Linked DNA regions of Alligator mississippiensis. The protein of the gene in region 1 binds, or shares a complex with, the protein of each later gene. Links are inferred from orthologs where the notes say so. Each region holds a gene or a part of one and is shown in the gene's direction. Other genes may lie near its edges.

Region 1 (11,439 bases):
AGGTATTACATATGCCAGAAATTAGAACACCTGTCTAATCTACTATACAGTGAAGTAATGCATCATTTGCATCTGAGATCAAGTATCAATACTTTTCCCATAAATAATACTCACCTATTAAGTAGCCTTGCTTTTTAAAGTAATTCAAGGTTTTTTTTTCATCTCTACTAAGTTGTTCTTCATCTTTTTCTGCTTCTGCTTTCAGTCTCTCCTTCCTTCTGAATATTCTGTCAGAAGTAGGGTTGATAAGTGGAAACTTCAGGAGGTTTAAGGTCGTTCCTAAAAAACAAAATCCACACCATCCAAATGTATGACTACACTAACACAACGCAAGTTCAGTAGAAAAACACACTTTGATATTACGCCTGAAAAAGAGGGAAAAAAGCTTCCTAACCATAAATGTTTGCAGGTTATATAACTGCTTCAATTTTCTGCACAAAAAGGAACAGGCATACAATGAGAAAGTTAAAGTCAGCTAACAGAACAGCTAATAGCTGTGCTCAGAAATGACCAGTCACACTGGCCAGGATCAGCTCAGTGAAATTTCACTGTGTTTGAAGGAAGTTTTCAGCAATCATATTAGTTGGACTGTTAGCAAACAGCACAGACAGATGATGCTCTTCAGTTACCATCATATTAGCTCACCATGATTAAATGCTGCCAAAACATATTTAGTACCAAGTCACTTAATGTGATTGCTAGAAGCCATCTTCAGAAATAATAAATTTGCGTAGTGTAGACAAGGCCACTACGAACCAAACTTTAAGTCAAACCAAAACTCTTGTGGATTTTTAGGGACAAGAGCTGTTGAAGAGCTGGCTATAAAACAAATCTCATTGAAAAATGACAGGTGAGAGTTGCACACACATCTCTCTGCAACAACTACTGTGGCTTCAACAAATTCTGTGTTGACTTCTGTTATTAGTGCAGGAATGTGTTAGTGGGACTAGAAGAAAGGGAATCCTAGAACTCCAGATTAGTTTTGAACCCTTTCGCACTCTGGTGCATGTCATACAGAGATAGCACCCAAGAACCTGACATTTTAGCAGGAAGAATTGCCTGTGTGTGGGACCATGGTACAAATGCAAAAAAAAACCAAAAAAGGCAGAATTCTACGATGTTTATTTCACCATTAAAAGCTTACTTCTCCTGCTATTATCATAATTATTATTTATGGGTATTTATTTTTCCAAAATGGCTTATAAAGATTTTTGAATAAGTAATGGATCAAGTTTATAAAAAGTAAAATGTGACATTACTTAAGAAACTCGCATTTTGCTTCCAGTTACTTTTTTCTGTAAAGCACTGTAGTTTTGTTGAGACTGATTTTTTTTTTTTTATATTCATTAGCCAACACATTTTAAAATCCCAGCGTAGACAGTCACATATATTAACACGTATTAAAATAAAATTGCAAAGTGACATTTTGGAAAAAGCTGGGGGGGAGGGTAGGTCAACATTTTTGAAGGTAAATAACACTGACCAAGATATGACAGTTGGATAGCAAACCAGTAGCCTCTGAAATGAAAACAGTATTCCCTGCCAAGGTCTGGTCTCTGAAATCACTGATGAGGCTCTTAGCATGAAGGCAAAGGTCTGAATGAGCCTAAGAACAGAACTATCTTCTCACCAGGAATAAGTAGACATGAGACAAACTGCTGAGTTTGCAGAGTCACGTCTGTGCCTCTCTCATTTACCCTATATAAAGTGCCTGAGCTCCCACCCTACCTAAGACATCAGAATATTTTTCTTCACAAGGGCCAAATCCACTCTGTAACAAAATCAAAAGTGGGGGACCTCCGTTTCAAAGCACACTGCTTACTGTTGGATAATGCAGGCAAACATATTGCTTTCCCCCAAGTAGACTTAGTATCATGTGTTTGGCAAAGTTATATATAATATGCTCAAGTCTAGGCCAATGCCAACAAATCGACATCACTAAAGGACCAGATATACATTTAAGGGTCTCTATCCTGACTTAAAACTACCAGGCTTAAAAGTTAAATAGAATACTCCATTTCTAAAGCTCTACAGGTCATCCTTCTTCCCTCCCTACCCTTCCATGCCACAGCAGGCCTGGGAAAGGAAAAAGTGGTGGTGATGGATCCTCAAGTGCTGCTGCCCATGAAGTCCTGGAATGAGGGAGATGGGGGCTCCGGTGACACTGCCTGGGAGAGGAGTGCATATGAAGAATTCCTGGAGATGCAGGAGGTGCTGACTGCTCGGCGTGGGAGCTGCAAAGTACAGAATCTTTTCTTGTGAATTTCTGGAGAAGCTGAAAGCTTCACATAAGCAGGCAGCATTTCATGTAAGTCTGTAACCCAATCTCAGACAAGGCTCTTCAGCAAAAACTCCTGTAATAAGTCGCAGGCATCTTACTAAAGCTTATACATCTCTGATTTAGTTAAGTCTATAGGGTGCATCTCCACCCTCTGCCTTCAGCAGTGTAAGTCAGACACACGCACACAGGTAAAAAGGGACAGGACAGGGAGAGATCAAATACTGAATGACAGGCCAGGAACACTAAAATATTAGGAAGTGCCAGAATTAAGGTTTCTTGTGCAACCTTAATTCATTCCCCAGTGTGTATGCAGTACATCATAATCTTTAATTATCTATCACATCCTGTTTTTTGCATTGATCCCTTGCCTCATTCACTGTCCATGTTAAATGATACCCACTGAATGGGTAGCTGTATGTTTCTTTGGTTACTTGTGCAGCTGTAACCTTTATTTATTACACAGCATCTAAAGCCTGCACTGAACACAGAATTACACATTTTCTCTTGGGCACTTCCAAAGGTAGTTTGCAAACATTTGTGAATCTATCTTCACAACAACTCTGTGAAAAAAAAAAAGAGAGTAGTATTATTTCCAATTTACAGATCAGAATCTGAGGCAGAGATGAAGGACAAGTAACCAAGTGTCTAATACTCTGGATGTCTACTTTGAGATGGGTCCAGCTTTTTTCAGTTTGTAGAATTATGTAACACTTTCCATGCAAAGTTATAGCTAACTAAGGTGAGTGCCCAACAGTTCTGCATATCAAGGTCCTGGTAACTCAACCAGGAGTGATGCATGATTAGTGTTCAACAGTGTACATTTTGGTTTAAGTATCAGTACTAGTATCACAGAGGAAGTCTTTAGATGGGATCCAGTTTTCAACTGCCAGAACCACTAAGCCGTTCCTTTTCTTCTGTTTCACTAACTGGATACCTTCCAATTTCTAAAACAAGGGACCCAGAAATCACACAGCCACCTGCATCACTACTACACAACCCTTGCAGCACTGTTTTCCTTCCTGTGCACTGTACAAGGAAGGGGTCCATTTGCAAAAAACAAACAAACCACATAATAGGAGACAAACCTAAGGAGAGTCAGGATAAAAGACAGGCCATGAGCTGGGCCATATTATTGGGCTTTCTTTATGTTCTGAGTTTGTGCAGCATCTTGCACAATGGGGTCCTGGTAGGTGACTGGGCCTTCAACATAAGTTATTAGCACACTGGGTCAGACCAGTGGTCCATCTAACCCAGTAGCATATCTCTGACAGTGACAGGAGTGGATGCTTTAGAGCACTTGTGTCGAACAAACTGGGTCTCTGGACCAATCCTACGTGCTGGCCCCAACCCTGCAGGCTGCATGTGGTGTGCAGGCTAGACTCCATACCATGTGTGCTGGGGGCAGCACAGGGGGTCAGTCCATGGCACTACATGCAGCCCATGCCTCAGACCCTTGGGATCCTGCCTGTGCTCTGCAGACAGCGTGTGCCATGTGCTGGTCCTGGGGGCCCTGTGCACAAGTCCCAGGGCCAACACATGTTGCATATGGCACTCCGGGTTGGACCAGCCATGCAGGCTGCACGTGGCACAGGGGGCCGGCTTGGGAGATGCACTCCATACAACGCCCTTCTAGACCTGGACTCAGCATGCAAGGCCAGTCAACAGGACATCACATAGAGAGTGTTCCCTGTACCAACCCCATGCTACATACAGCATTCATGGCTGGTCCAGTGCTGTGTGCAGCATATAGTAGCCCTGAGGCTTGCTGTGCATGCAGCCCTGGGGCTAGCATAGGGTGTGTGCTGCCCATGGCAGGTGGGCTGGACCTAATACTGCATGCAGCACAGGGGGCCTGAGACACAGGCTGCGTGCAGCACCCCAAACCAACCTCCCATGCTTCCTTCAGCATGTGCCACAATTCAGCCCCAGTGGCCAGCGCATGTTGTATGGGGCTGGATCTGGTGCTACAGCCACTCCACAGGGGGTTGGTCCCAGCCTGGCCCATAGAATAGCTCAGGTATGCTCATCTACCCTGTGGGGCCCTACAAGTTTGACACCCCTGCTTTAGGAGAGAGCTGAACAGGGTATATCTAGAGTGACCTGTCCCATCATACCCTCCAACACATCCACCATTGGTTCAGGGAGGCAAGTAACAACAAAACAAATAGAAAATAAAACCCAAAGACAACTTGGCCCAGAAGGGCTTGCAGCACAATGGGACAACAGACACAAGTCCCCAGCTCTGACCTGGCCAGGGCGAGACGGTGGCTCTGTTGACCACTTCTGAGGCTCTGGATTTGCAGTAGTCGGACTGGAGCAGGGTGTTGAAGAGGGTGGACTTGCCCGAGTTGGTGGCACCCACAAGATACACATCCCCATTGCACTTCCAGGAGCCCTGCAGCTTGGAGATCAGCTCCTCCACCCCATAGCCCGTCTTGGCGCTGATCAGGTGAATGTCCACCAGGTGCTGCCTGCCTGCTGAACCCCTGATGCCTTTGGTGACAGGGTGGATGCCCGCCTGGGCACAGTTAAGCAGCAGCTGCTTTCGAAAGCGCTTCAGGTAATCATGTGAGTCTGGAGGCAGCAGGTCTACCTTGTTGCCCAGGACCATTATGTTGATGGTGGGGCCCAGCAGCTCGGGTAGGTCGGGCAGCAGCGTGTCAGGCAGGTCCAGCACATCGGCCACGTAGAGCACCAGTGGGGCACGGCCGTGGCGGGGCAGCTGGCGCAGGGCGGTGCTCACCAGGCTGCGGTACTGGTCCCGTGACACCTCCAGGCGCAGTGCCTGCTGGTGATGTACCAGGAGCCAGCAGCGCTGGCACACGGCACCCCGCAGCCCTCCCTGGCCCTCAGGCTCCCCCAGCAGGGAGAGGTATTTCTCACTGGGCATGTAGCCTGGCATGGCAGGGTCCTGGCAGTGCAGCTCTGCCCCGCAGCCCGAGCAGCTCACACTGCTGGTTGGCATGGATGGATCTGGCTGCCCCTTTGGCCTGTGCTGCCTCCGCTCCTGGCACCGCCTCTCCCGGGGGGGCTTTTTCGGCACCACCTCAGTGCCCCATGGCTTCTCCAGTTCCTCCGGCAGGTACTCTGGGAACACGAAAAGTTCCTCCTCGTTGCTGCCAGGCCCCAGGAGGTCCCACGGCACGGAGGCCAGCCCAGCAGGCAGTGGCTGGCAGCGCAGCCCGGGCCGCAGTTTGAACGGGGTGCCAAGAGCTCGGGCCCGGGCCTGGGCCCCAGCCACCAGCAAGCGGCGCAGGCAAAGGCGGTGCATGGCCGCGGCGGTAGCTGCCACCCGCGTGGGGAGCCCGGAGCACGCAGCGCGGGGCGGGGCGGGGCGGGGCGAGGCGGGGCGGAGCCGCTTGGGGGCGGGCCACGGGCTCTGTGCCCCGGGCTGGGCTGGGCGCCCAGCTCCCGCGGGGGGAAAGTTCCGCAGCGGCTGAAGCCGCCTTTGGGGGCGCTGATTCCCCGCCGCCTGCCCTGCCTGGCACACAGTAAAGGTGGAGGTTCCAAGTTGGAATCCCGAGTGTCCCCAACATTCGGGACAAAGGCGCAGGTTTCAGATGGGAATCCCGAGTGTCTCCCGGCTGGCAGAGGCAGAGCGCACAGGTCTGCAGCCAGAGATGCAGGGGGATGCACACGCCGGAAGGAGCTCGCAGGGAGTCACAGCGGAGCCCCCGCCGACAGACGTACCTAGTGGAGCAGCAGGCGGGGCAAGAGGAGCCCCAACAGTGCACCCTCGGGGAGCTCCCCACCCGAGGCTGCTCTGCCTGCAGGACTCCGGGTGGCTCGGCCCAAATTTACACCCCCCTTCTCCTTCATAAAGAGTGGTACGCGCTAATCGGCGCGGAAAGTGAGCACAGCGCATGCGCGCATACCAAAGCTTTCCCCTTCCCGTTTCTCTCTGGTGGGCGGAGCTCAAAGGCTCGGTTTCTTGCTCAGCCGTAGTACCGACCCGGAAGTAACGCAAGGACGTAACGTAGCCCGCGGAACTGCGACCGGGGAATTGGCGCAGCCGCAGTGCTCCCAGCGCATGCGCACTCCCTGCTCGGCTGTCTGGGGAGCCGGTGGCGCGCCGCTGCTTTCTTTGCTTGTCTTGTTCCGAGCTGTCCCCTCGCCCCAACCGCCGCCATGTACGACGCGGACGAGGGTGAGTGCGCCGCGCGGGCGGGGGGAGCACCGGGGCCCACTCTTGCCTCAGTCGGGGGGAGGCCTGTTCCGTTCCGGGGCGGGGAAGAGAACGTGGGTTTGCTCTGCGCCCCCCCTCCCCTCCCCTGGCGCATCGTGCGCCCGCAAACCTGTGCAGAACGCAGCGACTTCTGGGGGGAGGTTGGAACTCGTGCACCTTCAAGGCTTTCAAAGGGCAGCCTGCCAAACAGGAGTAGAGCAGAGCTGACACTGCTTCGCTTCAGGGAGCTGCCACATGTAGTGTGCCAGATGCAATAGGGGCTCCCCACCATCCAAAGCCGCCTGGGGATGGGGTTGCTCCTGCAAGTCGGGGTCACACAGGACTGGCCTAGTGTTTTTTCCCCTGGTCAAGAATCAGTGGCAGCGAGGAGCCAGTGTTTTCTGAGGGGCTGTGGCATCGGAAGAAAGAAATGCCAAAAGGTGGAGAGCTGGTGATGTTGAGTGGGTTGCCAGGGCGGGCATTGTTTTTCTTGGATGTGGGCCCCTGAAGGGGCATCCTAGCTATCAGAAGCAGGGAGCCTCCAGCCCCTTCCCTCAGTCTTTGCATTGAGTTCAGACTGACTTGCTGGTATTCACCTTTTACTGGTATTCACCATACCATTGCCTTTTCCTCCTTTCTATTAAGGACCAATGGACGAATAAAGACTTCTGTATTCAATTTGAAATACAGGGCAATGTAGCCTTGCCTGTTGTATTAAGTTCATTGGAAAGCTGTATGTAAATAAGTTTTTTTTTCTGCTAATGGATATCCAGTGTATGGACACATGATAATTCTTAGTCTGATTTCAGTGTTTTGCGTTCTTGTCAGATATGCAATATGATGAAGACGATGATGAAATCACTCCTGACTTGTGGCAAGAAGCATGCTGGATTGTTATTAGGTAACTTTCTGAAACTTAAATAAGGCATTTTGGTAGTAGTTGAGGTTGACCTTCTGATATGATACATTTCATCTGGAATTAGATGGAAATTCCAGAACTGCGTCTAGAATCATAAATGCTGTCACTTTAAGAATACAAGACCAGCTGAAAAGCGGTACACAGCTGCTTTATGTGTAAATTGCCAAAGATTAGTTGTTTTGCAATTCTGTGTCTGGTTAATGGGGAAGATAGTTGTGGGAACTCGGTGCAGTTTTTTTTCCTTAGGATACACTTAGTTTACATGTTAGATCCTGTTCTGTGTCCTGGCAATTCCTCTTGGAAGGGCCATATTTGAATACTCTGTTAGGAGAAGAAAATAAACAAATTCATTTCATATTTCAGTGATTGGTTTTGAAGAGACAGTACATATTTTGTGGATTTTTAAACATGGCTTCCAAAGTATCATATTTTGTTTAAAAAAAATAAAAATTCTTGTTCAGTAACTGAATGTACATTGTTTTTTCCCCTAAGCTCCTACTTTGATGAGAAGGGCTTGGTCCGACAGCAGCTGGATTCTTTTGATGAGTTCATCCAGATGTCTGTACAGAGAATTGTTGAAGATGCACCGCCTATTGATCTACAAGCTGAAGCTCAGCATGCTACAGGAGAAGTGGAAGAGCCGGTAAGAGGAGACCTTGTAGAGTCTCATTGTTTTTCAGGTGTACTGACTAAAATAGTATTTACCTCAATCAGCTGATATTACTCTTGTTTCACAAGAATGGAAATGCTAGTTCTGTTTCATCTTTTAACTGTGTATTTCTGCAGTGCATAAAGTCTCCTGCCACTTGGAAAGTTACTGTGTCCTGCTACTTCTTTTTTTCTTTCATCAGAAGACCAAGAATACAGTTAAATGGCTGTAGCAGCAGGCTCTCAGTTACTGCGATGTCATACAATTGCAAGGAAATATGTTATTGACAGAGGACAGTTAGAATGAGCAAGTAATCAAACGTAAGATTGAAAGGCTGGTCCAGAATCTCAATATTCTGTTGGTTAGGAACCTTCTAATTAACAGCTTACACTTATTTACGGATAATTTATACCCGTGTGTTCTTGTAGGTTAGTATTGTTAGATGAAGGCTGAATGGGAATCAGACTGCTGTTTTGCTAAATCGAGCAAGCCAATCAAACTTCCTTTTCCTCTTAGGTGAGGTGTGTCTCAATTTCCCTGTGAGTAGAGAGCCTATGAGGAACAGAAACAAGATCTAATTAGTAAAGACGGTTTTCTCTTAAAGGTTAAGTGCTATAGGGATAAATTACAAATTGCCAAAGTCAGTTTGAGTTAGATGTTGCAAAGGATGTTAAAACAGATAGCAAGAGGTTTTGTATGTGTACATGTGGATCCCACTCATGGTAGCTAAAAGCTCATTTAAGTAAAGACTTTGGAACTGGCAAATCAAGCTAAGCGTTTGACCTAGAAAGCTGACACCAGAGGTTAGTTAGTGACGTTTAAATTGAGCCACTGTTAACTGCCTTAAATAGTTCAGCTATTGGAAATCTGTCATAGAATGCTGCCAAAGCATTTTCTGGTGTAGCAGAGTAAGCTGTAATATTATGTAGAGGGGCAGTCCTAGTTTTAAGCCTGTGAAGCTAAACAGCCTTTGGGTTTGCTACCAAAGGCAAGTGGCTTGGCTCCTCTGCATTTACATTTTGCCCTGCGTACTGCTACAGAAAAGTTATAGAATCAGAAAATTAGGGTTGGAAGGAACCTCAGGAGATCATCTGGTCCAACCCCCTGCAAGTTCTAGTGATACCCAAGGAGTGCAATTTTGTTTCTCAGGAAAAAATACCCACAGTTAAGTGGGTGTATTCATATGTAAATACAATACCACTTTAAAAATGGAATTAGGGTGTGCTACCAGAAAAGACAGGGGGATTATACCTTAGCCCAGTATTGCTCACCATATCTCACCAGATTCCTCACAGTGATCCTTTGTGTTGGTTATGCTTGACTTGCATAACCAATTTTCATATGTCAGTGAATCCACTGCACAGGAAGTACATCAGCCTTCAGTTCCTGGCATCTGAAAATCATTACTGAGTTTCAAAATGCTCCACTTAGACCAGGGGTAGGCAACCCCTGGCATGTGTGCCATTGTGTGGCATGTGAAGCCATTTTGGTCGGCATGAACACCTCTGGGCGGATGGTGGGGGAGCCATGAGAGGCCGAATCCTTGTTGTGGCAGTGCAGCCCCAATCCCATCCCTGCTGTCAGCCCCAAGGCACACATGCATCCACTGCCAGCACCAAGCTGGGCTAGGGCTCTGTGGACTCCTGTGCAGCTGCTTGCAGCCTCCTTGCCATCTGCTGCAAGCAGCTGGGGCTCTACGGTAGGTGGCAAGGGCCTCCCCAGAGCCTGGGTTGGCTTTGGCAGGCAGCCTGGAGGCTGTAAGCAGCTATATCAGGGTCTGTGGAGCCAGACACAGCTAGTTGCAGGCGGCAGGTGCATGCATGCCTCGGGATGGGTGGCAGGGAAGATCAGCTGGGGCCGCACTGCCACAATAAGGATTAGGCCCTTCATGGTTCCCCTGCTGTCTGCTTCGGCACGCCAACATCTTGTAAATCCAGGTTGTGGGTGTTTTTGGCACCCTGACTTAACCCTTTCTGCTGCCCCTAGCGTAATTAATAAAGTGTGTGTCTGGCAATGGGGCCACATGGACACTTGTACGAAACAACTTTTTCTTCAGTAACTCATTCTTTGGGATGTTTTATACGTGAAAATCCTCCAAAGCTTGTCTTCTGCATTCTAATCTAGAAAGAAGCTGAGTGGCGATTATTGGCCCAATCTTTGTGTCTGAAGAGTGGTGATCTTGAGGGCATGCAGTATGTGTCGCATCTAACAATTTCTTGTGGCTAGTTGTACGTTCACCATGAGTGAGGTCTATATAGACAGAACATCTCGAAGAATTAGTTGACTAATCAAAGATAAATTAATCCAAGCAACAATTGTCCTAACTTAATGTGGAGGTTGATGATATTGTCTTTGAACAACTGGAGCTTTATTTGAGAAACATGACTCTCAGTTGAGGTAAAAGGAATGTATTGCTTCAGGATCTTATTTCTATGAGGTTTAAAATAAAACTACAGTAGAATGATTTTCGAAAAATTTTAATTGCTGAAAGACGTATTTTCTCATACTTTCATTCAGAGTAACAGGTAAAGACTTCTGTGGAAAGCAAAGCCTTTAAATATGATTGGGATGTGTATTATACAGATACCTTTTTCCAAAAGGAAAATTGTATCAATTAGTAAGAATTGGAATATAAATCTTTTTCATTCATAAATTTGCTACTGTTGAGCTATAGCAAATCAATGTGAACAAGATATACGTTTAAAAGAATCATTACATTCTGTTGTTTAATAGACATTTGCATTTAACAGACTTAGAAACTGTCAAATCATTTTTGAAACGGATGGTCACAATGTGAAACCTGAAAGGTCATGATTTTAAATACAGTACTTAACATATTTGGAACAGCGTCTTTCTGCCTTGTCTGTATTCCCAGGTCAGTTGAATACACATCTGACTTTGGCATGGGCAAACTAATAAGGAGAGTTGTTACTTTAGGCATGAAGAACAGCTTACACCTTTTTGAAAGCTGTTCCCCCCCCCCCCTATTTCTCTTCCTAAGAAACTGCTATATCTTAGTATTAAATAGGTAGGATAGTTCATATGAGAGCTTTATACGGAGAGGAAATTGGAAGAGGATGCTGCTGCATAGAGGAAACCCCTTGGAGTTTTGTCACTCTGACCTCACTCCTAATGTGTCGCTGTCCTTGCCTGCAAGATGTTAGGGTGTTTCAAATTTTTGTCCAAACTCGACAGTATGTAGTGTCCTCAGATGCTGAAGTGATAAGCCCTAGAAGAAGAATACAAGTATGATTAGAATATTACTGGCTTTGTGGTGTTGAGGAATCCCAGGAATTTTGCTTTTGAGTTGGAATTTTTTGCAGCTGGTCGAGCAGTGGTAGAATTCACGATACTGTGTGCTGCAGCTCAGATTTTTAAACTTTGTTTCCTTTCTGGTCCAATAAACGTGGATACTCTTTAGGAAA
Region 2 (11,332 bases), on another chromosome or scaffold:
TACTGGTAAGTGGAAGGTTAAATGAGGGTTTGTGGGGTTTTATCGTTTACCTTGTTATGATATGCAATCTAAAAATTCTAACCAAAAGTCAGACATTGTTGTGGGAGAACTCTATATACACACATGAGAGGCATAAATGTAAATGAAGATATGGCACATCTTGTTTCAAGAACCATTGACAAGAGTTAAGAAATTCTTATTTGGGGGAAAACACCTGGAATGAATCTTAAAAGGCAAAAACTATAGGTAAACTCCTACAAGACATATATTCTTAACCAGGATTAGAAGAAATTGATTAAAGTATAGGACAGAAAATGCATTGCCATGTTTGTATATTATACAGCACTGTCCGGTAGCATGAATGCTTATTTGTGAAAGCCTGAATTTTGGAAATCAAGAGCCTAACTGAATCTCTTTTCTCATGTATGCAGAACCATTGCTCGACTATGGGCATGTCCACACGTGCATTAATGCATCTTTTCTAATGTGCATTAAATGTAGTACCTCCAATGTGAGGTTCTAAATTAATGTACATTAGGTGCAGTAGCGCATTTGCACACCTTTTTAGTGACACTATAGTGCGCAGTAGACTATTTTAATACTCATTAGCATAATGTCATAGTTTTTTACATGATGCCTTAATGCGCAGTAAAATAGTCTACTGTGTATTAAAGTGCATGTGTAGACGTGCTCTGCGTTAACAAGAAGGCAGGTCACAGTGAAGAGGAAAGGAGAGCGCACCTTGACTGCTCTGACACATAGGGAGACTTATTCCGCGCATGGGACAGGGCTAATGCAGATTACTTTTTTGCTTGAAGAAAGGGGAAACCAAAGAAGGATCTATGACTGCATCACACAACTTGTCTTCTGAGCTGCTCAGAAGGGTAGGAATGTTTGTAGGGTAAGTGACCATCACTCATTGCATGCCTTAACATAACATGTACAATTTGAATTATAACCAGGCATGAACTCCTGCATGAACAACATATGAAAAGATGCCATCATCAAGTAATGGAAACACACCCCTATTTTTTTTTTTTTTTTTTTACTGTAACAGTAATCACATTTTATATATTACACTGAGTGCTTTATGGCAAATCTTAAAACATGCTTAAAGTGTTTCCAGCATATTTTGAATACATTTTTTCTGGTAGAAGGATGGACTGTAAGAGAATATTTTAGGTAGGCTTTAACTATTGATACATTGATAATACATGTTGATGATAATCTTAAAATAGAAACAAAGACAAAAAAGTATAAATATGCCCCTGTGTGTGCTGCAGTAATAATATGGAAGTATTATTTTTCTGATGCAACAATATCATCAGATACTTGCACTGAATAAGTTACATAGGCTTCATTATCAATTCATTTAAGACATTAGATTAGTTATAAAACTCAAGTCACTTCAGCCATGTCATATATTTAACAAATATATAAATATGGTGGGAAGATACAAGTATACTTTAAGTAAAATTAAGACACCATATTACAAAAACTACAACTCAAAATGACAATCTGAAGGAGACGGTGGCGATTAGGGACAGTCGGCATAGGTTCACCAAGAGCAAATCATGCCTGACCAACCTGATTGCCTCCTATGATGAGGTGACTGGCTCTATGGAGGCGGGAAGAGCAGTTAATGTGATATCCTTGACTTCAGCAAGGCTTTTGATATGTTTTCCCACAACATTCTCGCAGGCAAGCTAAGGAAGTATAGGCTGGATGAATAGACTGTAAGATGGATAGAAAACTGGCTGGATCATTGGACTCAGGGAGTAGTAATCAACAGCTCTATGTCTAGTTGGCAGCCAGTATCATGTGGAGTGCCCCAGGGGTTGGTCCTAGGGCCGGTTTTGTTCAGTATCTTCATCAGTGACCTGGATGATGGGATCAAGGGCGACTTCAGCAATCTTACAGATGACACCAAACGGGGGAGTGGAAGATACATTGGAGGGTAGGGCTAGGATTTAGAGAGAACTTGAGAAATTGGAGGACTAAGCCAAAAGAAAACTCATGAGGTTCAGTAACGGCAGGTACAAAGTTCTGCACTTAGAATAATCCTACGCACTGGTACAGGCTGGGGACTAACTGGCTAAGCGGCAGCTCTGCAGAAAAGGACTTGAGGGCTATAGCAGACAATAAGCTGAATATGAGCCAACAGTGTGCCCTTGTTACAAAAAAAGCTAACAGCATAATGGGCTGCATTGGTAGGAGTGTTGCCAGTAGATTGAGGAAAGTGAGTAGTCCGTTCTATTGGGCACTTGTGAGACCACATCTGGAGTAGTGTGTCCAGTTTTGGGCCCCCCACTACAGAAAGGATGTAGACAAATTGGAGAGCCCAGTGGAGGGCAAAAAATAAAAAACAGTGAGGAGGCTGGGGCACATGACTTATAAGGACAGGCTGAGGGAACTGGGCTTATTTAGTCTGGAAAAGACTGATGGGGGATTTAATACCAGCCTTCAACTACCTAAAGGGTAGCTCCAAAGAGGATAGAGCTAGATTATTCTCAGTAGTGGCAGATGACAGAACAAACAGCAATGGTCTCAAGTTTCAGCAAGGAAAGTTTAGGTGAGATGTTAGGAAAAACTCTCTCACAAGGAGGGTAGCAAAGCACTGGAACAGATTATCCAGAGACATGGTGGAGTCTCCATCCTTGAAGGTTTTGAAGACTTGGCTAGACAAAGCCTTGGCTAGGATGATATAAGTGAGGATGGTCCTGCTTTGAGCAGGGAATTGGAGCAGATGACCTTCTGAGATCCCTTCCAACTCTAACTTTTTATGATACTATGAATACTAGCATGCATGGTAATTATGTCTAGGACAGTGGTTCCCAACCTTTTCTATACAGCAGACCAGCGGGGGTGGGATGGGACGCATGGAGCTGGCTGCCTCCCTCCCAGGCTTCCCCGTTGCCGAGCTTTATCCCTGCACGTGACTGCCAGCAGAAGCCACTTGCCTGGGTAGACAAATGGGAGTCACGACTCGGCAGCCAATCCTTCGCAGCCCAGTACCGGGCCACAGTCCAGTGGTTGGGAACCTCTGATCTAGGACATACTTTTCCAGGTTACTTACAAGACTGGCATGTAGGACTGAAGTCCAAATATTTACAATCACCATTTTTACCTTATGATCCAAATCAAGTTATCCTGTAAAAGGAGCAAAGATTTGGCATGATTTGCTCTTAACAAATCCATGTCATCTGTCAGTGATCAATATGTGCATAAAACAGTCAACCTGTTAGTAACTTCCTTGGCACTGATGTCAGGCTGACTGATCTTATACCTTGCTGGGTCCTTCTCTTTCCCCTTTTAAAAATGGGTAGTACAGTATGTAAGCCTTACCAGTTGTCTGGGACCTTGCCTGCCATCCATGATCTTCATCTATTATTGCCTGTAGCTCTGAGATTTTTTTCAGTGAGATCCTTCAGTACCCTTGGTTGAATACTGCACAGCCTCCTGACTTAAATTCAGATTAGTCAAAAATTCTCTACTATATTATTTGCTTAACATGACCGGCATCCTTCCTGTTCATTTATTATATTAATTCTGCTATTTTTTCTTTGGGTTGGTTGTTTTTGGAGTGGGGGTTTTTTGTTTGTTTTTTCTCTTGTGAAGGCATTGGACAGTTCCACCTTCTTTGAAATTTCCATTAATAGTTTACATTCTTTGAGTAATAGACCCACAGGCTTCTTGGTCTCTCTTTTTTAGTTTTTCCTTGTCTGATGTATGTGTAGAAATCTCTCTTGTTGTCTTTAACATTTCTTGCCAGTTGTTGGAAACCTTTGGCGATTTTTTGCCTTCACTTTTCCCATGTTTGTCATTATCTGTCCACCTCTACAGATGCATGCTTTTCTTCCCATTGCTGGTATGCATCAGTTTAGATCTACCATGGCAGCCAATGCAGCAACATTGGTCTCTTATGGTGCTTGTTATCTTCTTTTTTCATGGGAATAGTCTGATGCTGAGACTATTAAAATTATGTCCTTTTTCTTTTAATTTGCCTATTCATTGTAGCTTACCTACTATTTCTAAAACATGGTTCAAATGAACCTTTTGGAAGTCCAGCATCCTTATTTTGCTGCTCTCCTTCCTTCCTTTCTTTAAAATAATTCTATGGTATCAGGATCACTTCCTCCAAAGACGACTAAAACAGATTTGGTGCTACTGTAGACAGCTTGCTAGCAATGGTTACTATTTCAGCAACATGATGCACTTCTTACCACCCATCTTCCTCCACAAAGGGACACAACACAAGGAAAAATGCTGACCATGTCAATAACTGGTCCCTTTGAGGGACTTTTGCTTTCCATTTTCTTTTGTTTAAAATAAATAAAGAAAAAGCAGCACCCAAACCAAAGACAGTTTCTTCACCTTCCTTCATACATTCATAATAACCAAAGGCTTAAAACACACTACTTGAGCAGTTAAGAAAAAATATGCACTGCAGCATGAAAGCAGTTGCCTTTCCTTTCATCTCTAGAGAACCGTTTCAGTTAATGGTCCAATCCTAACTTCAGAAAGTTTTTTTTTTTATACACCACTTAATCACAGAGTGTAGTTGCAGCAAGCACAGTGGATCTGTGACTGTGTGACAGAAGCCACTACAATTCCCTACACTGCTCACATGGTCCATTTGGAAACACAAAGACAAAGCAACTAGTGTTTCTCTGCAATTAATGGTCTTTGGATTGGGCCCCTGAGGAGCAACACTGCATGGAAATCCAGGAGGACGGGAATGGGTTGGTTAATCTGGACAGGAGACCAGGTCTGCCTCCACCTGCAAGAAGCATTGTTAGCATGCTGAATTTTTGGTTGTAGTTGTGTAGGTCTAAGGACATAGGCACATAAGGTTTTTTGAGTAGATGTGATATCTTTTATTAGACCAACTGAGTAGTTGGAAAAAAGTTCTTAGAAAGCATTTGGGGGCAATCACCCTTCTTAAGGCATATGATTTTCTAGTTCTTAGCTAGTCTGAAAGCTTGCTAAAAACTTTTTTCGAACTACTCGGTCTAATAAAAGATAACACATCTACTCAAAAGAACCTTGCCTTGTTAACATACTGCATTTTTTCCACCAGTGGATTCAGACAGCGGTTAAAATTTAGGGTGTCTCGTGTCGTTATCCTGACCTCGTACTCTCCAGAGCAGTCGAGGACCATGCCAGCCTTCCACTGACATCGGGGACCTGGAAATGACAGCACCACACAAGCGGCACAGGGCTACATTCATCTCAGGCTGAACTTGCTCACAAGGCAGCAGCCCAAAAGAGGAGGAGCGCCCTGTCCGCTCTGACTTCTGAAGTGTCTAAGGGGATTTAAAAAGCCCAAGCCAGGCCTCTTCGTACTTTTACAAGGAATCCATAACATGTTGAAAGCTAACATGTTTTCTCCCCTACAACGCATTGTGAGGTTTGACCTAGAAACTACTATGCAAAGCCCAAGCAAAAGTGAATGTTATGTGACGAATGCCCATCTGCAATGATAAGGAGGAGACAGTCTTAGATAAAGGAGGCTTGAAAACAAAAGCAGAATCAGAGTACTGGGTCAAAGAGCTCATTAAAATACTAAAAATCACACCCCTAGGTGGGGAAGAGGTATGCTAATGAAACATACATGTACGTTAATGAGATACATAGCTAAAACACAGGTATAGAGACATGCTCAGTAAAGAACTCCTTGCGTCACTCCTTTATAGCCAATTAGCAAACAAGGATGCTTATGAAGGTCTAAAATCCCTGTATAAAAGGGGCTTAGAATTAGAAATCTGGTGTGCTTGTTCTGTGAAATTATTCCGCTTGCACCTTTTATTGCTAGCAATAAATCTTGTTTATACTTTCACCCCTGGTATCTTTATTGGCCTTTGCATACCGGGCACAATCCCAGACTTGAGCTGGGGCTCAACAGCATCTCTTCTCCTGCAAAAATCAGCCCCTCAAAATTGGGGCACGTGTATTTAGCAGGTAAAGTGACTTTTCTGTTTGGTGTAAAAGCACCCCGCTTCGCCTGCAGCTCCATCACCATGCCAGTACTCCTCCTTTTCCAACAGCTGAGGGCCATTGGCTCCAATGGCTCATTGCTTTTCACTCCACAGGGATTACCAGCTGTTTGACGCTCCACTAATCAAGGGCAAGGTTTCTGCCTGCTCCTGGGCTCGCCTCCTATTTCAGCCTGGAGTCGAGCAGGAAAACAAAGGGGGGGGCCCAGTCAGCCCAAGACTGCAAACTATATATTTTGCTCCCGTTCAAGATGCCTTCCCAAAGCAAAGGGCTGCTTATATACTGGGCGCATGTAGTATGAGGAAATACAGCAGGAAGCAGGGCGAGTATACGCAGCGGTTTACAAACTCAAACGGCCGCAGAACGCTGGGGACACGTGACGCAAAGCTACGCGCCGGGAGGGGGAGGGGCCTCGCGCAGGCAGAGAAAATCGTCACTCACGGAAGAGTCCATTCTCGGCGATGGGGTGGGGCGGGTTTCATCCCTAAAGGGGGGCTTGGAAACCCTGGGCTTTGCCCAGACTCCTCCCCCTCCCCTCAGGCTCCGCCCTCCAGCCGCGCCCGCGCCTTACCTGACCCGCAAGCCGCAGCAGCATCCCTGAGCACGGCCTTCCTTCCAGCCTTACTTCCGGCAGGTCAACGTGTTCGATGACGTCATCAGAGCGTCTCTGCGAACCCGGGCTGAGCGCGGAGGAAGTGGGTGGGGAGAGGGAGGGCGTTGAGGTTGCGCATGCGCATGGGTTGCACGGGAAGTTTGCTTTCTGTTTAGGAACCGGGCGCCGGAGGCGGCGGCCGGGGTTCTACTGTCGTCGGCGGAACCAACGGCCGGTAGGTGGGGGAGGGGCAGAGCGAGGCTCCCCAACCGCCACCCGTCACGTGGTGGGCGCGGGGGGAGGGGCGCGCGGCGCCGGTCCTGCTTCTCAGGCGCGGAGGGGCCTGGTCCTCTTGGCGACACAGGGGTTTAAGTACACACGTGTGTACAGCCCCAAAAGTAGACACGCGTTCAAGCCACATGCAGACATGCGCGTGCACACTGCTGCGTTTCCTCATGCCTAAGCAGATGCACTGGCACATGCATATCTGCAGCCATATGTGTAGACAGATACATGCGTGCATTCAGGCATGAGTATAGCTGTATGTACAGGCCGGCCCATGCATGTCAAAGCACATGTATAGACACACGCACATGTGCATTTGTATATGCATGTGTACAGAGACGATCTGAGCAGGGTGCGGGGCACAGGGCAAATCAGGCTTTGCGGGGCTCTGCCTCCAGACGCGAGAAAGCGGGTAGCAGATTCCGGGGGAGGGGGTGCCAAGCGGCCGGACATGAAGCCAGCGTTAGTGCGGAGTTGCCGTGGCCACTCCTCCCTGCTCTGCGGGGCCCAGGGTGGTTTCCCCAATTTGTCCCCTACTAGGGACGGCCCTGCATGTGTATAGACAGATATGTGCACACATACAGGTGTACATCCTCGTGTATATACAGGCACACATACATGCAGGGCTGTCCCTAGTGGGGAGCGAATCGGGGCAATTGCCCCGAGCCCTGTGCTTTGGGGTACCCTGCGGAGCCGGGCAGAGCGGCCATGTGAAGCCGGCGACAGCGTGGAATCAGCATCTAGCCACTTGGTACCACGCCCCCTCCTCCACCGCCAAATCCGCTGTCGGCTTCCTGGTGTCTGGGGGCAGGGCCCTGCACCTATCTTGAGTCATTTCTGCGCACGCGTGCATGTATATATCCACAAGCACAGATATACATGCGTAAGTGTACATTCACAAACACAGACGCACAACGTCTATTTTCTTGAACAGGGACCAGAACATCCCGCCTACCAGAGGTAGGGACAGTCTTGGGGATAGCTCTGTCAGGCCTTCAGTCAGTGCAGACGTAGTTAGGGATCTTCTGGAAGGGCTAGACATTTTAAAATCTGCAGGTCCAGATGCCTTCCACCCAAGGGTGTTGAGGGAGCTGGCAGGGGTCATCACGGAGCCCTTGGCCTGGCTGTATGAGCGTTTGTGGTCATCTGGTCAGGTGCCGGGGGATTGGAAACTGGCTAATGTGGTCCCGATTTTCAAGAAAGGGAGGAAGGAGGACCCAAGTAACTATAGGCCTGTAAGCCTCACCTTGGTGCTCGGGAAGATCTTGGAGAGAATCATCCAGGAGCACATCTGTGGGGGCCCTGCAGGCGAGATCATGCTCAGGGGCAATCAGCATGGGTTCATCAAAGGCAGGTCCTGCCTGACCAACCCGATTGCCTTTTATGACCAAGTAACGAAATCCTTGGATGATGGTGTCGCCGTGGACGTAGTCTTTCTAGACTTTAAGAAGGCCTTTGACACTGTCTCTCACCCCATCCTCATCAATAAATTAAGTGACTGTGGCATTGATGCCTGCACAGTTGGATGGGTACAAAATTGGCTGATGGGGTGGACCTAGAGAGTAGTGGTGAATGGGTCGTACTCAACCTGGCGAGATGTGAGCAGTGGGGTACCCCAGGGTTGGTCCTTGGGCCGGCACTGTTTAACATCTTCATCAGCAACTTAGGTGAGGGGGTGGAAAGCACGCTGTCCAAATTTGCTGATGACACTAAGATGTGGGGTGAGGTGGACACACTTGAAGGGAGAGAGAGGCTGCAACTAGATTTAGACAGACTATGAAAGTGTGAAGATGAGAATAGGATGGGGTTCAACGTAGACAAATGGAGGGTGCTGCACCTTGGGAGAAGGAATCCACAGCATACATACAGGCCATTGCCAGACCGCAGCCAACAAGGCCAGACCGCAGCCAGCAAGGCCAGCCATACCTTGTCATGCATCCAAAGGTGCATCTCAAGCCAGTCCAGAGAGGTGATAGTCCCCCTCTATGCAACTTTGGTCAGGCTGCAGTTGGAGTACTGCGTCCAGTACTGGGCGCCGCACTTCAAAAGGGATGTGGAGAGGGTTCAGAGGAGGGCCACCCACTTGGTGAGAGAGCAGCAGGGCAGGCCCTATGAGGAGAGACTGAAGGACCTGAACTTGTTCAGCCTTAGCAAGAGGATACTGAGGGGAGACCTAGTGGCTGCCTACAAGCTCATCAGGGGAGATCAACAGCAAATAGGCAGACCACTTTTCTCTCCAGCACCACCTGGGGTGACAAGGAACAATGGTATTAAGCTGATGGAGAATAGGTTTAGGTTAGAGATCAGAAGGCAATATTTTACAGTTAGGGTGGCCAAAATCTGGAACCAACTTCCCAGGGAAGTGGTCCTCGCCCCTACCTTGGGCAAATTCAAGAGGAGGTTGGATGATCACCTGTCTGGGGTCTTGTGAACCCAGCATTCATTCCTGCCTGTGGCAGGGGGTCAGGCTAGATGATCTGTTCAGGTCCCTCCTGACCCTAGCTACTATGAAACTATGAATGTATGTATACATCCTCAGATAAATACACACACGCGCATATGTATCTATTCACAGGCAGACAGACATGCATGCACACACTTATTTAGCTTCTAGTGATGGGTGTCATTTGTGCCCTAAAGCTTGTGCCACATCTCTCCTACCTGTCCTGTTGGGGTACTAAAAGAGATCACCAAAAATTGCCACCACCCCGGCTTTTCCCATCTTTACTGAGCATCATTGTGGCTCCAGCAAGGCTCCAGCCCTTTTTTGGTTCTGGCAGTTCTCAGCCAACAGCGTGAGCTGGATTTAATTTAGTTAGGTCTTTGCTTGCTTTTTGTGTGTATGGTTTATCTCAGGATGGTCTGGGCATGTGCCAGTGCAAACTCTGAATGTCCACTTTGGTCAGTAGAGAAGTCGGTAGTGTAACATAGAGTGGACAAGCAGGGCACTTGTGCCCACAAGGACTGCTTGCCTCTGTCTCTGCTGCCTACCCGCCTCATTTCCTGCCTCTGACATACATTGCCAGTGCCGGAAATGGGAATTATAGTTTTGTAGAGCTGATCTCCATTTTTTTGCTGACAAATTCAGCCTTCTTTCTTGCTCTCTGGACATAGGCTTTGGAGGCAAAAAAATGGGCTGAAAGTTTCTCCTGGGAGTAGCAAACTCCACTGCCAGTCTGAAGAACTATTATTTCCAGAACACCATGCACTCCATGACACTGTTGGCTTTGGATTTAAGACCCAGAGGCCTTGGTTGGGGGCTGGGGGTGAGCACCCTAAGACTGACCACAACCTTTCCATTTGATAATAAGCAAATTTATTGATACACAGTATTAGGAGCAACATTCAAGAAATTGTATACATCTGCCTTATCTTAGTGCTGTCATTAAAGTACATCTAGCCAGGATGCAGTCTCCACTCTGATGCTCTCTCTTAGGTGTCCTATGTCAGCAGTCTGGAGGTGGGATGCTGAGGCCTATGCCCCATCTCTAGTGGGGTGGATGAGACGGGCTGGTGGTGTGCCCTCTGTCCATGGTGGCCTGGGTGACCCTTCCTGGGAGACGGGGAGGAAGGACCTGGGATAGGATGGGGAGGAAACCCTTTGTTACTCTCAAGTCTCTGCTTTTGTATTCTCCTTCCCTCCTGATGACTCTTCATCCATGGCTATCATTGATTGGTCTCTCTCTGTGGTCAAATGTCCACGTAGCTTTCCGGGCCTTCTCCTGATTTGATCTGTTCCCCCAAAACCGGGACCTAGGCTTCCCTGCTCTGGGGCCTTGTTAGCTGGTGCCTCTTTAACTCGTGTTATGGGCAGTGTAATACATAATCCCTCTGTTCCCAGATTGTTTTCCAGACTATAGGTTCTTGTTTGCCTTGTTGTGTTAGACAACCTGTCTGCTTGCAAAGCTGTGTGATTGTGTGACCCAGACTCTTAGAAATCAGTTAACCCCTGCTGCCTATCTTGAACCTTTCTAATGCATAGATATATATATATATAGATATATATACATACCTGTAAGCCAATTCCCAAAAAACAAACCTTTAAATGCCTGGCTCTCTGTTCTGTTTTCCATCTGCAACTAAGAAGGTAGGAGAGGAGGTGGGGAGAGGGTGAAAGGCAGCTGCCCAAGGTGCATTTTTTCCATGATATGCCTTTGGAAAATGTTATAGCCTGACTTCTTTGGTTTGGTCTGTTTAGGTTTTCACCAATCACACACAGATTCCAGAGCCAGACCTGCCTTCATTGACTGCCCCTTCTGGCCTTTGTAAAGTGGTGAGAAGATGGTGAATGTCCTGAAAGGCGTTCTTATAGAATGGTTAGTTGTCAGGTGTACTTATTTTTCTTTTATTAGTAGTAGAAGTAATACTAAAGCTTAAAATATTTCAGAACCCATGAACACTTCAGTTCCTGCTCCAGGGATGCCATCATAATTAAGATGTGGAATAACAAGCAGATGC

What was found.
Region 2: POLR2B (region 1) and GTF2H5 share a complex: the UniProt entries of both Homo sapiens proteins name them as parts of the TBP-based Pol II pre-initiation complex. The link is inferred for Alligator mississippiensis from reciprocal best matches to the Homo sapiens genes POLR2B and GTF2H5.

The regions. Positions count from the first base shown.
Region 1 is NC_081825.1:140,544,580-140,556,018, reverse strand, and holds the start of POLR2B (DNA-directed RNA polymerase II subunit RPB2), read left to right. Parts: upstream 1-6,297; 5' UTR 6,298-6,409; coding exon 6,410-6,428; intron 6,429-7,274; coding exon 7,275-7,347; intron 7,348-7,857; coding exon 7,858-8,008; intron 8,009-11,439. Other genes in the region: NOA1 (nitric oxide-associated protein 1), read right to left, coding at 115-279, 4,529-5,552. UniProt on the Homo sapiens protein: Catalytic core component of RNA polymerase II (Pol II), a DNA-dependent RNA polymerase which synthesizes mRNA precursors and many functional non-coding RNAs using the four ribonucleoside triphosphates as substrates.
Region 2 is NC_081824.1:136,361,404-136,372,735, forward strand, and holds the start of GTF2H5 (general transcription factor IIH subunit 5), read left to right. Parts: upstream 1-6,725; 5' UTR 6,726-6,824; intron 6,825-11,072; 5' UTR 11,073-11,155; coding exon 11,156-11,190; intron 11,191-11,332. UniProt on the Homo sapiens protein: Component of the general transcription and DNA repair factor IIH (TFIIH) core complex, which is involved in general and transcription-coupled nucleotide excision repair (NER) of damaged DNA and, when complexed to CAK, in RNA transcription by RNA polymerase II.